Drosophila melanogaster: one gene and its partner. The protein of the gene in region 1 interacts with the protein of each later gene in a pairwise test. Each region holds a gene or a part of one and is shown on either strand. Other genes may lie near its edges.

Region 1 (8,408 bases):
TTTGAATTATAGTATCTTTTTTATAAATAGTTTAATAGTTGAAATTATTTAATGGCATAAAATGTTAGCCATCTCTGACTGCGACTGCTTTTCGTCTAGCCGAGTGGGCAGCGAAGTTGCGTCGCTGCCGCAGCGCAGCTGCTGTTGCGCTCTTATTGTATTTTTGTTTCATACTATATTTTATTTTATTTTATTTTTTTTTTTTTATTTATTTAGTTTTTGTTCCACGCTGCATTGCAAATTGTTGCTGGCGGTGCGGAAATCACAAAAAATTAGACGACCCCGATGGACATAGAGCTGCCGTGATTGCCATCATTCTGGATGCTAGGCTCTGCGGGTTCTGGTTGGCTTTCGGTTATAGTTGTATCATTTCAGTGGTTGCCGGGGGGCGTGGCCAGTGGCCACCACCCACCCGGCGGCGAGCCATTAAGAGCAATTTGTTGACAGTGACACACAAAAATGGACACACAAAGCGACGCGAGGCGACAAAACAGGCTCAACCAAACAAACAAACCAAACAAGCAACCGAGCCAAGCTAACACAAAAAAAAAAAAAAAATAGCGAAATAAAATAGTAATGATAATATGGAGGGAAAATCGGAAAATGTGAGACAATCCAGTGACATCATCAAATCACTTTAATTGCAATCGCCGCCAAGGTTGGTAAATTGTGTAAGGATAAGCGTCGTTCTTATATTTATGAACCTCATTTATTTTACTTTGATTTATTTCCCATTTCCTGACAATGTGCCTCCTTCAACTGTTTCTAATCTAATTTTCTATCTTCAGCGACCTTTGAGTATCTTTTGGATGTGTGCTTCTGAAACGCAAGTGAAATTGGCAGCGCTTTATATTGGAACAGGTGAAATAAGATATTGGTAAGCAAGTTAGCGTGCAGTCACAGCAGCGGGCAAGCACTTAATATATATTTAAGGGAAATACGTTAAAAATGTTATGCCTAATAAAGGGAAATACAAAAAAATATATATATTTAGTTGTACAATTTTTGTTTCAACGTCGGGGAACTTACATTTTTTGAATACTTTTCTATTAAATAAAAAGTCAATAAAATAAAAGTAAGTTATGTAAGACTACTAAAAATGTCGATATATATTTTGAAAAATATATACATACATATGTCCACGATAGCCTAGCACCCGATCTAATGACTTGACCGCGACTGTGGTCCGATGTGCGTGTTCCCTGGAGTGGTCATCGTTTGGCCATCATCTCCGCACATCCGCTGAGCATCCGAGCAGTTTTGTTTTTGTACTATTTTGTGGGGCCACGCAGATTTCCGCTGCAGTTTGACATTTGCAGTTGTCTGCCGGTGATAAGAGCTGCGCAGCGGACAAAAGGCAACGCCAAACGCCACAAGGAGGATGATGATCATGGAAGCATGTCAATTGCACCAGAGATACAAAGATACTGAGATACATACGTATGTATGTATGTAGATGGCTGGCGAAAACACTACTTATTTATTTATACATGCGCGATGTCGTGCTGCTAAAGCGTGCAATTTGCCACAGTCGCCATAGTGAACAGTATACAATATACTATATACTATAAACTATAAACTATATAGTGGCTGGATCCAGAGGCAAATCAAAGGCAACAGCAGACGACAAATGGCGAACAAAAAAGAGCGCACGGAAAAAATTAAAATGTGTGTCAACAAATTGCACAAATTATCGGCAGTTGAGCGCAGTTTGGGTATACTCGAAAAAATTAATCCACTCATAAGAAGAGCTTAAAGCGTTATTATAAAGTTAATTTTAAGAGGCTTAAAGGCTTAACAAATTGTTTGAAATTGATCTACATTTAACATAATTTTCTCTTTATTGAATTCATTGTATAAATAAATGTATGCCCAGCTATTTCTTTCGGTGTAGCCCAACTTCACTGACCCCCACAACGCATTTTTCCAATGTGTGACAACAAACAAAGATATGACCTTAATCTGATCACCTCTAAATTGGCATGCTATGATAATTTACCCTAAATGCATGGCATGCACGCTGACCGAAGAGGAGGAGCGATTTGGGGGAGGCTTCACTGTACTTGAAGCGTACGCTCGTGGGCGGAGTGGGCGGCATTGCGTCCATCCACATGACAATGGGCTAATTACAGGGAATCCATCACGCAGACTCATCCCACTGTTTATAAAAAATATAACTCAACACTTGACCCTGCTTTATCTGCCCTTTTTGGTTTCCATTCCATTTTATATGGATTTGCATACCGAATCACAGCTACTGTAAACACAACATTGCGTAGGCTTCTTTTGGAATTGAAAATCGAAATATGTTGGAAATTGGATTTTATGAGAGTATAACTATAAAATCAGAGAGGAAATTGTAGAGATAAATGTATCAGCTTGTTTCCGTTAGAAATCAATCTCAAGTATGCTTGACATAAATAAATAAACATCATCTTTAAAATTCCATAATTATTCTTATCTTACATATCATTCAAAATAATATAGATAAAGTTAGTTATCTAAAAATAATGACTATTGAAATGCTGAATATTCTTTATAAGTATCATCTCTGCATTTGCGATCCCCAGCAAAGCTGCCCATCAATGGTCACAGGCCCAACCCAAAATTAAATAAATGGCTTTTTGCTCGTTGATATTTTTTAGGTGCGAATGCAGTGGAAAATATATATACACATTCATCACATGCAATTTTAATTTTTTTAATTTTTTGTGCGTTGGTTGTTGGCGACGCCGACGCGGTGACGTCACAAACACATTTAACCAGCTAACCTTGGCCCGATCTAAGCTCTCACTCGCACTCGCACTGGAGAAGGGGCGCGGAAATCGAGATTTATATATTTTCTGCATTTCCACTAAATACAGTAAAAAAAAAACAGTAATTACTAACTCACTGTAAGCTAACAAATTGAAAATATAGAATCGAGTGTGTGTAGGAAATGCTTAAAAAAACACAAAATAAGTTTACGCCTTAATAAATTCGAAATAAAATAATAAATAAATAATAATATTGAAAAAAAATATTACCCGTATGCCTCTTGATTTCTTCAAGTGTGTATTTTAAATTGACTTAAGATATGCACATAAGAAATCAAATATTTCTTAAGTTCGTATGAACTCAGTCTATTTGCACTCTGTACTCGATTCGATTATTGTTAGTATATATTTTTCCGAGTGCATATTTGAACTTGTCACTTGTCTGTCTGGAATTCGTGAATTTGGTTTGGTTTGGGCAACAACCTCTGGGCAACCTCTGAGCCGAAAAAAAAAGTGCAGATGGAGATAGAGGCACTTGGCGGCGGGCTCATTAAATGGTCGTGGAAAAATTCCCTTCGGCTACTGGATGTTTTTGTTTTCTTTTTTTTTCAGATTTCTGGTTTTTGAAGTGCCCCACATTGTGTTGCGCTTTCATGTGGCATGCCACGCCCCAATCATCCTGTGAAAACTATTTTCGGTTCGTCTGACACACATCGATGGGCAGGAAAAGCGGAACAAAGTGCAGAGTGGGAAATGAGCAGTGTGAGTAATTGTTTACATTGCGCTTCTTGTGAGCTACTTTACGGCCCAGCATGTGACCACGCCCCCAACCCCCACATATCCACCGATTTTCCTCCCCATTTCCCTGCAAGAGAAAAAAAAACGCGGCACAAGAATTTCACTTGTTGGTTTTTCCGCGCTCCGCATTATCCCTCCTCCTCTTCTGTTTTTTGATGGATTGTTTTGCGGTCCACTGAAATCGACGAAACTTTAAGTTTGAACTAATGGCAACAAAAATATCCGATGGAAGCACTAGTGTACACACAGAAAAATCGGGTGTGGGCCCACCACATATGCACATATTTGGCTGGCATGTAAATGTAAACAACATTGAAGCGATTTGATCTTTGATTACCTTGAATTCACTCAGACATTTTGAAGATACATACGTAAACATTTCCTTTGGGCTACCTTTGAGAGCATATGAAAACATACAAACGTTTGTTTAAGCTGTCTAAGATGTATTTAGTTAGTGGAACATTGGGCAAAACTATATTCAAAACCTTGAAACAATATTTAAATAGTCCAAAAGATTATTGTGCAATTGCTTAATGGCCAAAAAGTTCAAATTATGAATGTATTAATCATCGCAAAAAGGTTTAAGTATTTGCCACCGTTCTATGCGCTTCTCAAAAAGTGTAGATAAGCAAATTCTTATTTAGCATATATTTTGGTATATTTCGATATATTTATTTCGAAATACTTTTCTAGCTTATATTTTGCATGTTTTATAACGACTTTATAGAATTTAAATATATTTTCCAAGACTCTTTCGATCCCAATTTGACCCCAGGTGAACTTACGATTGCAGTGTCGAGAGATTTGTGGCCGAGGCACCTACGCCGCATGCCGTGGAATGCATTTCGCAACTTTTGCCAATTTTATTGTGCTGTCTATGGGATTAGCACCTCCTCTCCAGCTTTTTGATGCCGCCAGCTGGCGATTCAAATCGCTTATGCCAATGCACGCACAGTAAAAAATTTCAACAAAAAAAATAATTATGAACACGGGGCGCGGTGGGATTTCCTTGAATTAAACTTTGGTTGGTTTTCAATTGGAATTATATGATTTGGCAGTTGAATCTAGAATAGATTGAAAGTTGGGTTTACTACTTGGCGCGACAATTTTTGGAGGCGGCGGCGTTCGCGGCGTTCACTTTCCGACTGAATTCTCACTTTCCGCCGGAGATGCCGTCCGGAGATGCGGCCGCTGCGACGCCGGCAGAGGCAGAGTCCGGCCCCATTTCCCATTAACATTACCATCACCATCACCATCGGCATCACCATCCCCATTCCATGCCACCTCATAGCTACGGCCGCAGCTAAATACAGATCCGAATCCAAATCCACCCACGTGGGCCGGCCAATTGTTGCTGCCGTTAGCATAAACATTTAAGCAACCAGCGACAGTGCGCGACAAACATGTAAGGCTAGGAAAATAGCACGAGTGTATACTTTGTTTGGGCTTACATCATCTTATATGTAAATGCTTATTAGAATTTAGCAACTTCGGTTTTAACATTAAAACGACAATAGTAGGCACATGTCTTACAATTTCGCAACGCACTGTCCAAGTAAGATAAATAACCAAAAGGAAATGACTCCCGTTGCCGGTGCTGTTCTCAGTTCTCCGTGTAGGTAAGCGATGCATGTCACTGTTTTATTTAACCACAATTAAACGACCCGAAACATCACAGTGCATAAGAGACCAACGCTGCGTATGAGCAATGTGTCTGGCCATTAATCAGTTTTATTCACAAAGAACTAAGGATGTTCAGAAAGTTCTGCGGGAAGTAGTTTCTTGCATAGCTGGAAATTCTGTACATAATAACACCGACAGCAGATATCCATAACTAATCCAAGATCTGTAATCCATTCCGGCGGATTGTTTTCTTCAATTCCAGGAACCGGCGGGCACATGTTAGTTTGCGGGAATGTCTGTGGTGGCATGAATCCCATGAATCATGGACAGATAAAATATATATCCACCATAAAACTGGAGGCACCAAGCCAACAGCCGGCGAAAGTGAAATGTTCCGAGATAGATATATATACATACATAGTCTGAAACATACGTGGATTATTCGGACCAACCGAATGGCGAAAAGTAGAGTTTATGGGCTTGGCCAAAAAGTAGCGTAGCTAAAGTTTGAAATTAGTGGTCACAAGGGTTGGCTAAAAACATATAGAAAAAAATAGAAAACTTTATACAATCTCTATTTGGAATCGGCAACTCCATGAAAGGCATTCACAAATATTCAATTTAATGTAGCATTTGTAGGATGCACTTGGATATTTTGAGAAAGTCATTGCATCTTAAGGCATCCCCATCCCCATTTTTCCCACTACTTCACTGACTAAGCCCATAAACAATCCGCCACTTGTTTGTTTACAATCCCCATTCGAAAAAGAGGAGGATCCCAAAATCGAAGAATATCGAAAAAAGAGAAATACAACTGGAAATGCAAGCGCTATGTGAGATATTCCATCTGGCCGTGTAATAAAGATCCTCGGCCTGGTGGGATTTACCACAAAAAAAAAACCGAAAAAAAACTTAAAAGAGGCATTTTTTTGAAATAGAATAGAAATGTATTGTTTGGGGGGGAATGTAGCGAAAAAAGGCACTTATGTACTTAGAGCGATGCGAGATGTGAAGTCGAGAACTCGCAGAAACAGACACACTCGACCACTTGACATTGATGGGTGAGAATTCTGAGGAGATCCCACAGAGCATTGGGCATTGAGTGGTGGTGTCACTTGTGGTCTCACCAATCCTCCCCCAAAAGCGGCTCATTAAAATTTGGAAAAGAAAAGCGGCGGTGGAGTGACATCAGCCCTGCGAAATTCTTGCTCGTTTCATGTTCGAATTTCGTTGGCCAAATACAAAAGTTCGCAACGATATTTGGCCAATACCAAAATTGTCTCTCAATTAAGTTTCAATTGACACACAATGCGGCCAAAGCAAAACAAGGGCAATACGATGGCTAAAACCAACTCTGAATGCCCTGTAAACAAAATATATGCTTTGCATTATTTTTATATTTAAATATTTTGCACGAGTAACTAACATATTCAACTTAAGCTATGACTTAAAGTTATGTATAAAAGGTATTGTATTTTTTTATTTATTAAGCTTAGAGAAACTTTAAGTTTGAACTAATGGCAACAAAAATATCCGATGGAAGCACTAGTGTACACACAGAAAAATCGGGTGTGGGCCCACCACATATGCACATATTTGGCTGGCATGTAAATGTAAAAACATTGAAGCGATTTGATCTTTGATTACCTTGAATTCACTCAGACATTTTGAAGATACATACGTAAACATTTCCTTTGGGCTACCTTTGAGAGCATATGAAAATATGAAAATACAAACGATTGTTTACGCTGCCTAAGATGTATTTAGTTAGTGGAACTCTGGGCAAAACTATATTCAAAACCTTGAAACAATATTTAAATAGTCCAAAAGATTATTGTGCAATTGCTTAATGGCCAAAAACAATCGAATTATGAATGTATTTAATCATCGCAAAAAGGTTTGAGTATTTGCCACCGTTCTATGCGCTTCTCAAAAAGTGTATATAAGCAAACTCTTATTTAGCATATATTTTGGTATATTTCGATATATTTATTTCGAAATACTTTTCTAGCTTATATTTTGCCAGTTTTATAACGACTTTATAAAATTTAAATATATTTTTAAAAGGTATTGTATTTTTTTGTTTATTAAGCTTAGAGTACGCACTTTAATATACATACAATATATATAAAAATCCATGAATATATGTATTGAAAATTTTTTTTTAAATTTATTTTATAACCAAGCGTTATTTCCTTTACACTTTGTAAGGGCAGCGGGAGAAACTGAGTTGGGTATCAATTAAAATTGAAGTCGCGTGGCGATTAGCGCCATTAGCCGATATCCGCAATCGCAGAGGGCGCAGTCCGAATTTCCGGCGCAGCCCCTTTTTCTACCTGCCTACACGCAGCGAAAATGTGGGTAATTCCTATAAGTGTGCCCTCAATATGAACTCGACTTTCTTTCGAAAACCTTAATATCTTATTGCAAACTATATTTTTTTTCAGTGTCAACTGAGGTCATTTTACCCGTGGATTCAGCGTTCGTTGCCCTTTATTTTTTGTTGTCTTTGCCGTGGATTTATTTATTGTTGTACTGTTTTCTGGGCCATAAACATTCGACTATGCAAGAAGCACAATAAATAAGAACATGAGAAACGTGGCTACAGAAAGAGAAATTCCAGTCACTTGGGGTATTTCCATTTTTGAATATTACATTTTCTGTGCCATTGTATTCTTTAGTTTTGAATAAGTTTTTTTTTATTGTATCGCAACAACATTTGCTCTTTAATAATTTTCAAAGATAAAGCAATTTCATTGCTTCCAGGTGATTTTCTTTTTAGTTTTTAGTATAGTGAACGGGTGTTTTTCCCAGTGTATACAGCTTCTACACATAAATTTAGTCCAGGTAGGGATAGGTGGGCAGTTCCTCATCCGCCCGATCCACTACTGGCCGCACTTGCAGCGTCCGCCAAAGTTTCCGCTTGCATGTCTCCGGCTTGTCCAGTTTCCCGCGGAACTTTTGCAGATCACTGTACGCCGGCGGCGGCGGATTCCGGAGGAGACCACCTCGATTGCGACGCAGTGCTCTGCGCACGGGCATCCTGATCGGCGTCAGCCAGCTCAGCTGCTCCAGGCGGCGTTTGTGGCGCTGCCGGAGTGTTCGCGAGGCGCAGTACGGACGGACGGTGATGTAGAAGAAGATCTCGATCACCGAAAAAATGCTGAAGCCCATGAAAAGTCCCAAAAGGCCGCCCGTATTAGCTGGAAATTTAAAAGATAAGATATAATT
Region 2 (6,182 bases), on another chromosome or scaffold:
CTCTTTGTTTGGGTCAACTGGAGCGAGTCGATCACTCGAAGGATTTCACTGCAAAGGATATAGTTAAATGTAATTTGTCGGATTAATTGACCTTGAAATCGTTCCTATTTAACTTCCATTATTATATGCAAGGTTAGTACTTAGTTTTCAGCAATAATACTTCATTAAATAATTATCTGCTAATGCGATTAAGTGCACGATTGTTTGCTAAAGTGCATTACAGCATTACTTTATAGATAATGATGAATGCTAGATATTGGAATACCCACTCAAAGTTGCGCCCAGTGGTGGCAGGATACAGGATGGACAGGCGAAGCTTCTTCTTGTCGTCCACCACGAAAACGGCGCGACAGGTGAGGGGAATGCCCTCGGCATTGATCTCGTCCTTGTCCAGCATATTAAACTTGAGCGCCAGTTCCCTTTTGTCGTCCGCAATGATGGGATAGTCAAAGGAGCTCAGCTCTGCGAACAGAAACGCCAATTAGAAGCGATTCCTGTCCAGAAATCAGTGACCAAACCCACTGCCAAAGCTCTTGATGTCCTCGATCCAACCCTTGTGCGACTCCACGGTGTCGCAGGACAGTGCAATTGGCTTGACTCCACGCTTTTGGAATTCCGGAATCAATGCCGCCACCCGGGACAATTCCGTGGTGCAAACCGGCGTAAAATCCGCCGGATGGGAGAACAGAATGGCCCAGCTGTCCTGCATCCAGTCGTAGAAATCGATTCGACCCTCGCTGGTCTCAGCCGTGAAGTTTGGGAACTGATCGCCAATGTTTAAAGCCTTTCCGGACATGGTGGATATTTGAAAAAATCAAGAGACGAATTACGAGCTTTTTGGATAAATGCGAAACAAAATTTGCCGCAAAATGCAAATCAGCTGACTGGGCTAGGGTGCCCGTTACCTTTATAAGCTCAGCTCGACCAGGGATGCAAATATAAAAAGAACTAGTTTTCGTATGAAGATGTTAAAAAGAAGGCTCATTGTGTGCATTCATTTTGCAATCATTTCCTTTAAGTGTTTTAAATCTAAAGTATTTTCTTTGACACAAGCAAACGAGTGTTTCGTATATTTTCGAATTTATGAGCTCAAAAAGTGAACCAGTGAACCGAACCACTTACACGTGCTTGCATCCCTGGCCATTACTCATACACACGCACACTATATCACACATACGCGCAGTGTAAACACAAAAAAAGCTGAGAATTTCTTGCATTTATTTGTTTAAATTGAGCAAAGAGGATATAACCATGACAGAACTGAGCATCACTGGCCAGCAGGTGATGCCCCCGCCCGCATGCACACCACCGGAGCCCTTCCGCATCACAACGAACGCCCCGCACCAGATGAACGATGCCAGTTTGACGCCGGGACGCAGGAAGCTCCAGAAGTGGCTGGGTCGAGTTCTTCGGATCGTGATTACGGACGGACGCGTGCTGGTGGGATTCTTCAACTGCACGGACCGCGACGCCAACATCGTGCTGTCCATGTGCGCCGAGTACTTGGTGGAGGGCCAGGAGCCGCGCCTGCTGGGCAACGTCATGGTTCCCGGCCAGCACATAGTCTCCCTAAGCATCGACGAGCCGGATCCGCAGTCCAGCCTGCTGGTGCAATAGTGTGCATGTGTTTTGAATAAAATAAACTAGCTATTTGAAATTTAAGTACGTTTAATTTTTATTTTTGGATGGGGTTATAGTAAACCCCTCCACACTACGCCCCTGCGTCGATCAGCTGTTTGATAAGCCACTGCCGCGTTGCCAACCATCGCGCAGATGAATCAGCTGTGCTCGATTGGATTCACTGAGTTATTTGTTTGCTCGCAGCACTATTCCTGCCAATTAATAGAGTTAATCAAGCGAAACAGCGCGCCGAAGAGGATCTGCCAGCCACCCGATACTCATTCAATTGAGCCCAATCAGCGATGGACTTCACGACCTTCGTAAAGCCCTCAAATGGCGGTGGCGACAGCGGCGGTGGTGGTGATGCGGATGGCGGCGGCCAGAAGCTGCAGTTCTGGAAGCATGTGGAGTACATCGAGAACCATGGGAAGCAGGAGGACGACTACGAGTACTGCATGACCGAGTTTCTGCGCATGTCGGGCATCTATTGGGGCACCACTGCCCTGGACATTATGGGCCAGCTGGAGCGATTGGAGCGCAAGTCCATCATCGAGTTTGTGAAGCGTTGTCAGTGTCCGAACACGGGCGGATTCGCACCCTGCGAGGGCCACGATCCCCACCTGCTGTACACCCTGTCGGCCATCCAGATCCTCTGCACCTACGACGCCCTCGAGGAGATCGACCGCGAGGCGGTGGTCCGATTCGTGGTCGGACTGCAGCAGCCCGACGGCAGCTTCTTTGGCGACAAGTGGGGCGAGGTGGACACCAGGTTCAGCTTCTGTGCGGTGGCCTCCCTAACGCTGCTCGGCCGCATGGAGCAGACCATCGACGTGGAGAAGGCGGTCAAGTTCGTGCTCTCGTGCTGCAATCAGACGGACGGTGGATTCGGTTCCAAGCCGGGCGCCGAGTCGCATGCGGGTGAGTCACCACATCGCCTGTCATGCTTTCGCCCTCACAGTCAATATCATTTCAATTTAAACTTATTAATCTTCTGGGAACAAAAAGTATACTAGAAAAATAGCTAGCCATAAAGCTGGTGCTCATATATGTTATCCAAAAACTAATCTACATATAACCCGCAGGGCTCATCTACTGCTGCGTCGGCTTCTTCTCGCTGACCCATCGCCTGCATCTGCTCGACGTGGACAAACTGGGCTGGTGGCTCTGCGAGCGGCAGCTGCCCTCCGGTGGGCTAAATGGACGGCCCGAGAAGCTGCCGGATGTATGCTATTCGTGGTGGGTGCTCGCCTCGCTCACCATCATGGGCCGCCTGCACTGGATCAGCTCGGAGAAGCTGCAGCAGTTCATACTGTCGTGCCAGGACACGGAGACCGGTGGCTTCTCGGACAGAACTGGCAACATGCCGGACATATTCCACACGCTGTTCGGCATCGGCGGACTCTCGCTACTGGGACATTCCGGCCTGAAGGCCATCAACCCAACGCTCTGCATGCCGCAGTACATCATCGACCGGCTGGGCATCAAGCCGCAACTATTGCCGAGGCCATGAGGGGATTCATCGATTCCACATGCAGCCAGTGCGTAGCCAATGTGTAGTGCAGCAGACCTCTGACGTATTCCCACGCTAGCGTTTCTTAGTTTTATTTGTAAAAAGACCAAAATTCCATAGCAGGAACACCCTTTCTTTACTCATTTTCTTCGTTATGCATTTACCCCTCTATTATTATTAAATATAGAATATTTTGTATAGCGAACGAAAATCAGCAATAAACAAATATTTTACTTTAATTCAGATCAGTTAACATTTGATTTATTTGCAAAGATAACTAAACTAACATTTGCATGTGTGAAAAACCGTGTGAAATGTTTGCGGCTAGTAGTCTAGGTCGTTATACATATTAGGTAAATACATATCATTGTGTAAATTTATGTACATGAGGATACGATACGAGTGTAGGGACTAATTAGTTAAGAAGTTGGCAAAAAACTGCATTACAAATATGGCGAATCACACAAAATTGGAATTACAAACTAAACGCTAAGTGTAGTCACCGTGTATGGGTTAGCTCAATTAGAGGCAATTGAAACGAATCTTGCAGAGCACAAACAAATATTAATCGACCACATCATACATATGCTGTGGACAATGTCCGAGTGTGTGTTCTGTGTGTGTGTGGTGTGTGCGGTGTGTGCGGTGTGTTGTGATTGTAGTATACTCGATGCACGTCTAAGGCACTCTATAAACAATTTCAGCTAACAATCCGTTTAAAATTTATGTCTTCAACTACGGACTAATGGAGGAGCATTAGGAATTACTGAATTTCTCGTCGCTAGTCAGAACGTTGTATGCACAGCCGAGGGCCCAGGAGATTTCGTGGCCATCTATCTTCTTGTAAAGCTGCACAATTTAAAACGAGTTACTAGAGAGTTCAATTTGTGTTAAGTGCGCCAGGACTCACCTTAATCTTCTTGCCATCGTTGAGGCCAAATCCTTCGCGCAGCAGCGTCGAGATGAAGGTAAGGTCGAAGCACATGAAGGGCTGCTCATCGTTGGGAATGGCACAGATCTCCTGGGCCTTCTTGCGATAAGCTTCCACCGTGGTCTCGCCGCCAGCCAGTGGATCCACCAGACCCGACTCGATGGCCCGCTCAAAGTAGTAGCTGAACGCGGCCACCGCGTGCTGCTTGAGTGTGAACGGCTTGGGCTTGACCAGCGGCATTACCTTGCTCTTGACCAGCTCCAGGCAGGCATCGAAGTCCACAATGGGCTGCTCGGCACTGGACTTGCCATTCTCCTTGCCGCTGACCTTGTACTGCACATTGCCGTATGTCCACGTGCGATTGGCGATTATGGGATTCACGCAGACGCTCTCCAGCACCGTATCCTCCTTCTTGTAGCCGTGCGTGAAGACAGCATGGCGTGCAGCCATTAGACCCAGTCCCAGATAGCTGTGCGTGAAGACGTTGATCTTCTTGCTGGACGTGACCACCTCGTGCATGTACTTATCGTACACGGGCACCTGGTCCGGATCCGTTGGCGAGAAGGTTACCTGCGTGCTACCGCCGCCCAAGTCCAAGGCAGCTGCCTGGTTCGTCTTGGACAGGCGGCCCAGCAGGAAGTTCACGGTAAACCAGCTGAAGATGCCCTCGTCCGTGCCGTCCATGATCTCCACGGCATCCATATCCACACTAAACTCGGACTTGGCGAAGAGATCTCGGACGGCATTTAGAATGTTTTCCGCCTTGCTGGCGGGCAGGAGTCTCAGGCCGGCGGTCGCTTTCAGAACCAGCGGTGTGGAAGACCAGTGCTCCTTGGGTATGAAGGCGCGGGCCTCGTCCAGCAGCAGTTTGATGGAGTGGGCACCCTCGGCGGGATTATCCGCGAAGGAGCTCAGACCCGGCTTGCGCTCCTTGAACAGCTCCTCGTACAGCACCAGTTTGTTGTCGATGAAGCTGCGATTGAACTTGTAGGCCAGCACACGGCTGCCCGTCGATCCGGCATCGATGATGGCCGCATACTGCACCTTGCTGTAGCCAAACTTGGAGGCCAAACGGGCCAGATACGGACTGGCGTTCTCGGAGACGAAGCCTGCATCGTTGTCAGTCGTTGGTTTATTGGCGATGGGTTTTTTAGTGATAACACGGCGAACGGGTGGCGCAAAATGGGGTTCCACGTGGGCGTAGGGCACGGTAACAGTGGGAAAATCAGAGGTTTTCGTTAGTACAACTTTGGGCACTTCGTCTTTTACATAATACAAATGGTACACACCAAAGACAAAGAGCAGGAGGATGACGGAGATGATCAGGCACAGGAAGGAGATCTTGAGGCCGCTGGGCCCGCGGTTTCCACCACTGCTGGCATTTGGTGATCCGCTACTTTTCCGCCGCGGTGGCTTCTCATCCGTGGCCAGCTGAAAAGGCGAAAGACAAATTAGTTTTGTGACCGACTACTCAGTTATTTGATGGTGTTTTTCTTGGCCAAGTTCATCGGGTCTACCAGCTTATATTCGTATTTCATGGTTCGTTCCGTTGCCTCTGCTGGCTCCACATTTATGCATGGCCGGTTTCTTGGTCGGAACACATTTCAGTTGTTTGCTGCTCAAATATTAACACGCTGGCTGTTTGCTATCTCTGCGAATGTCAATGAATTTCATTTCTTCTCTTGTTTTCGGTCTATTTTACGGGCTTTATCGTTAACATGTGCCAGGGCTGCAGAGTCCGTGGCTCATCGATAACGTTAACCAGGGTTGGGCCACACTTTTGGCAACGGTAATTTAGGGCAGTTGGTAAACAGAAAACCGTTACTTCAAACAAAATAACCTTTTAAAGCGCATTACTTGGATATTTCCACGATTAGTATATATTATTGTTCTACCTAACTTTTCGCTAGTTTATATTAGTTCTTATAAGAACAAACGATAAACACTAAAAATAGTAAAAAATGCGTTTCTATGGCTTTAGCTATGGCTATTATTAATTTTCTTAAAATATAAAGTCATGCCAAATTACACATTTTCGCTGAGGAAGTCAGCGAAGCCAGTGGCCATTCGACTAGAATCTTATCGCGTAGCTTTCTGGGCGATATGACAGTGATAAGACGC

What was found.
Region 2: the proteins of CG4829 (region 1) and RabGGTb interact in a two-hybrid assay, tested with the Drosophila melanogaster proteins (2 studies listed by BioGRID).

Annotation. Positions count from the first base shown.
Region 1 is NC_004354.4:16,807,993-16,816,400, reverse strand, and holds the start of CG4829 (uncharacterized protein), read right to left. Parts: upstream 4,703-8,408; 5' UTR 4,399-4,702; coding exon 4,340-4,398; intron 907-4,339; exon of another isoform or gene 789-906; intron 659-788; exon of another isoform or gene 456-658; intron 1-455. Other genes in the region: ppk28 (pickpocket 28), read right to left, coding at 8,016-8,380.
Region 2 is NT_033779.5:2,877,342-2,883,523, forward strand, and holds RabGGTb (Rab geranylgeranyltransferase subunit beta), read left to right. Parts: upstream 1-1,770; 5' UTR 1,771-1,922; coding exon 1,923-2,538; intron 2,539-2,702; coding exon 2,703-3,130; 3' UTR 3,131-3,367; downstream 3,368-6,182. Other genes in the region: Prx6a (peroxiredoxin 6a), read right to left, coding at 1-48, 270-462, 523-796; Sbat (sabbat), read left to right, coding at 1,252-1,617; NTPase, read right to left, coding at 3,887-3,979, 4,041-5,492.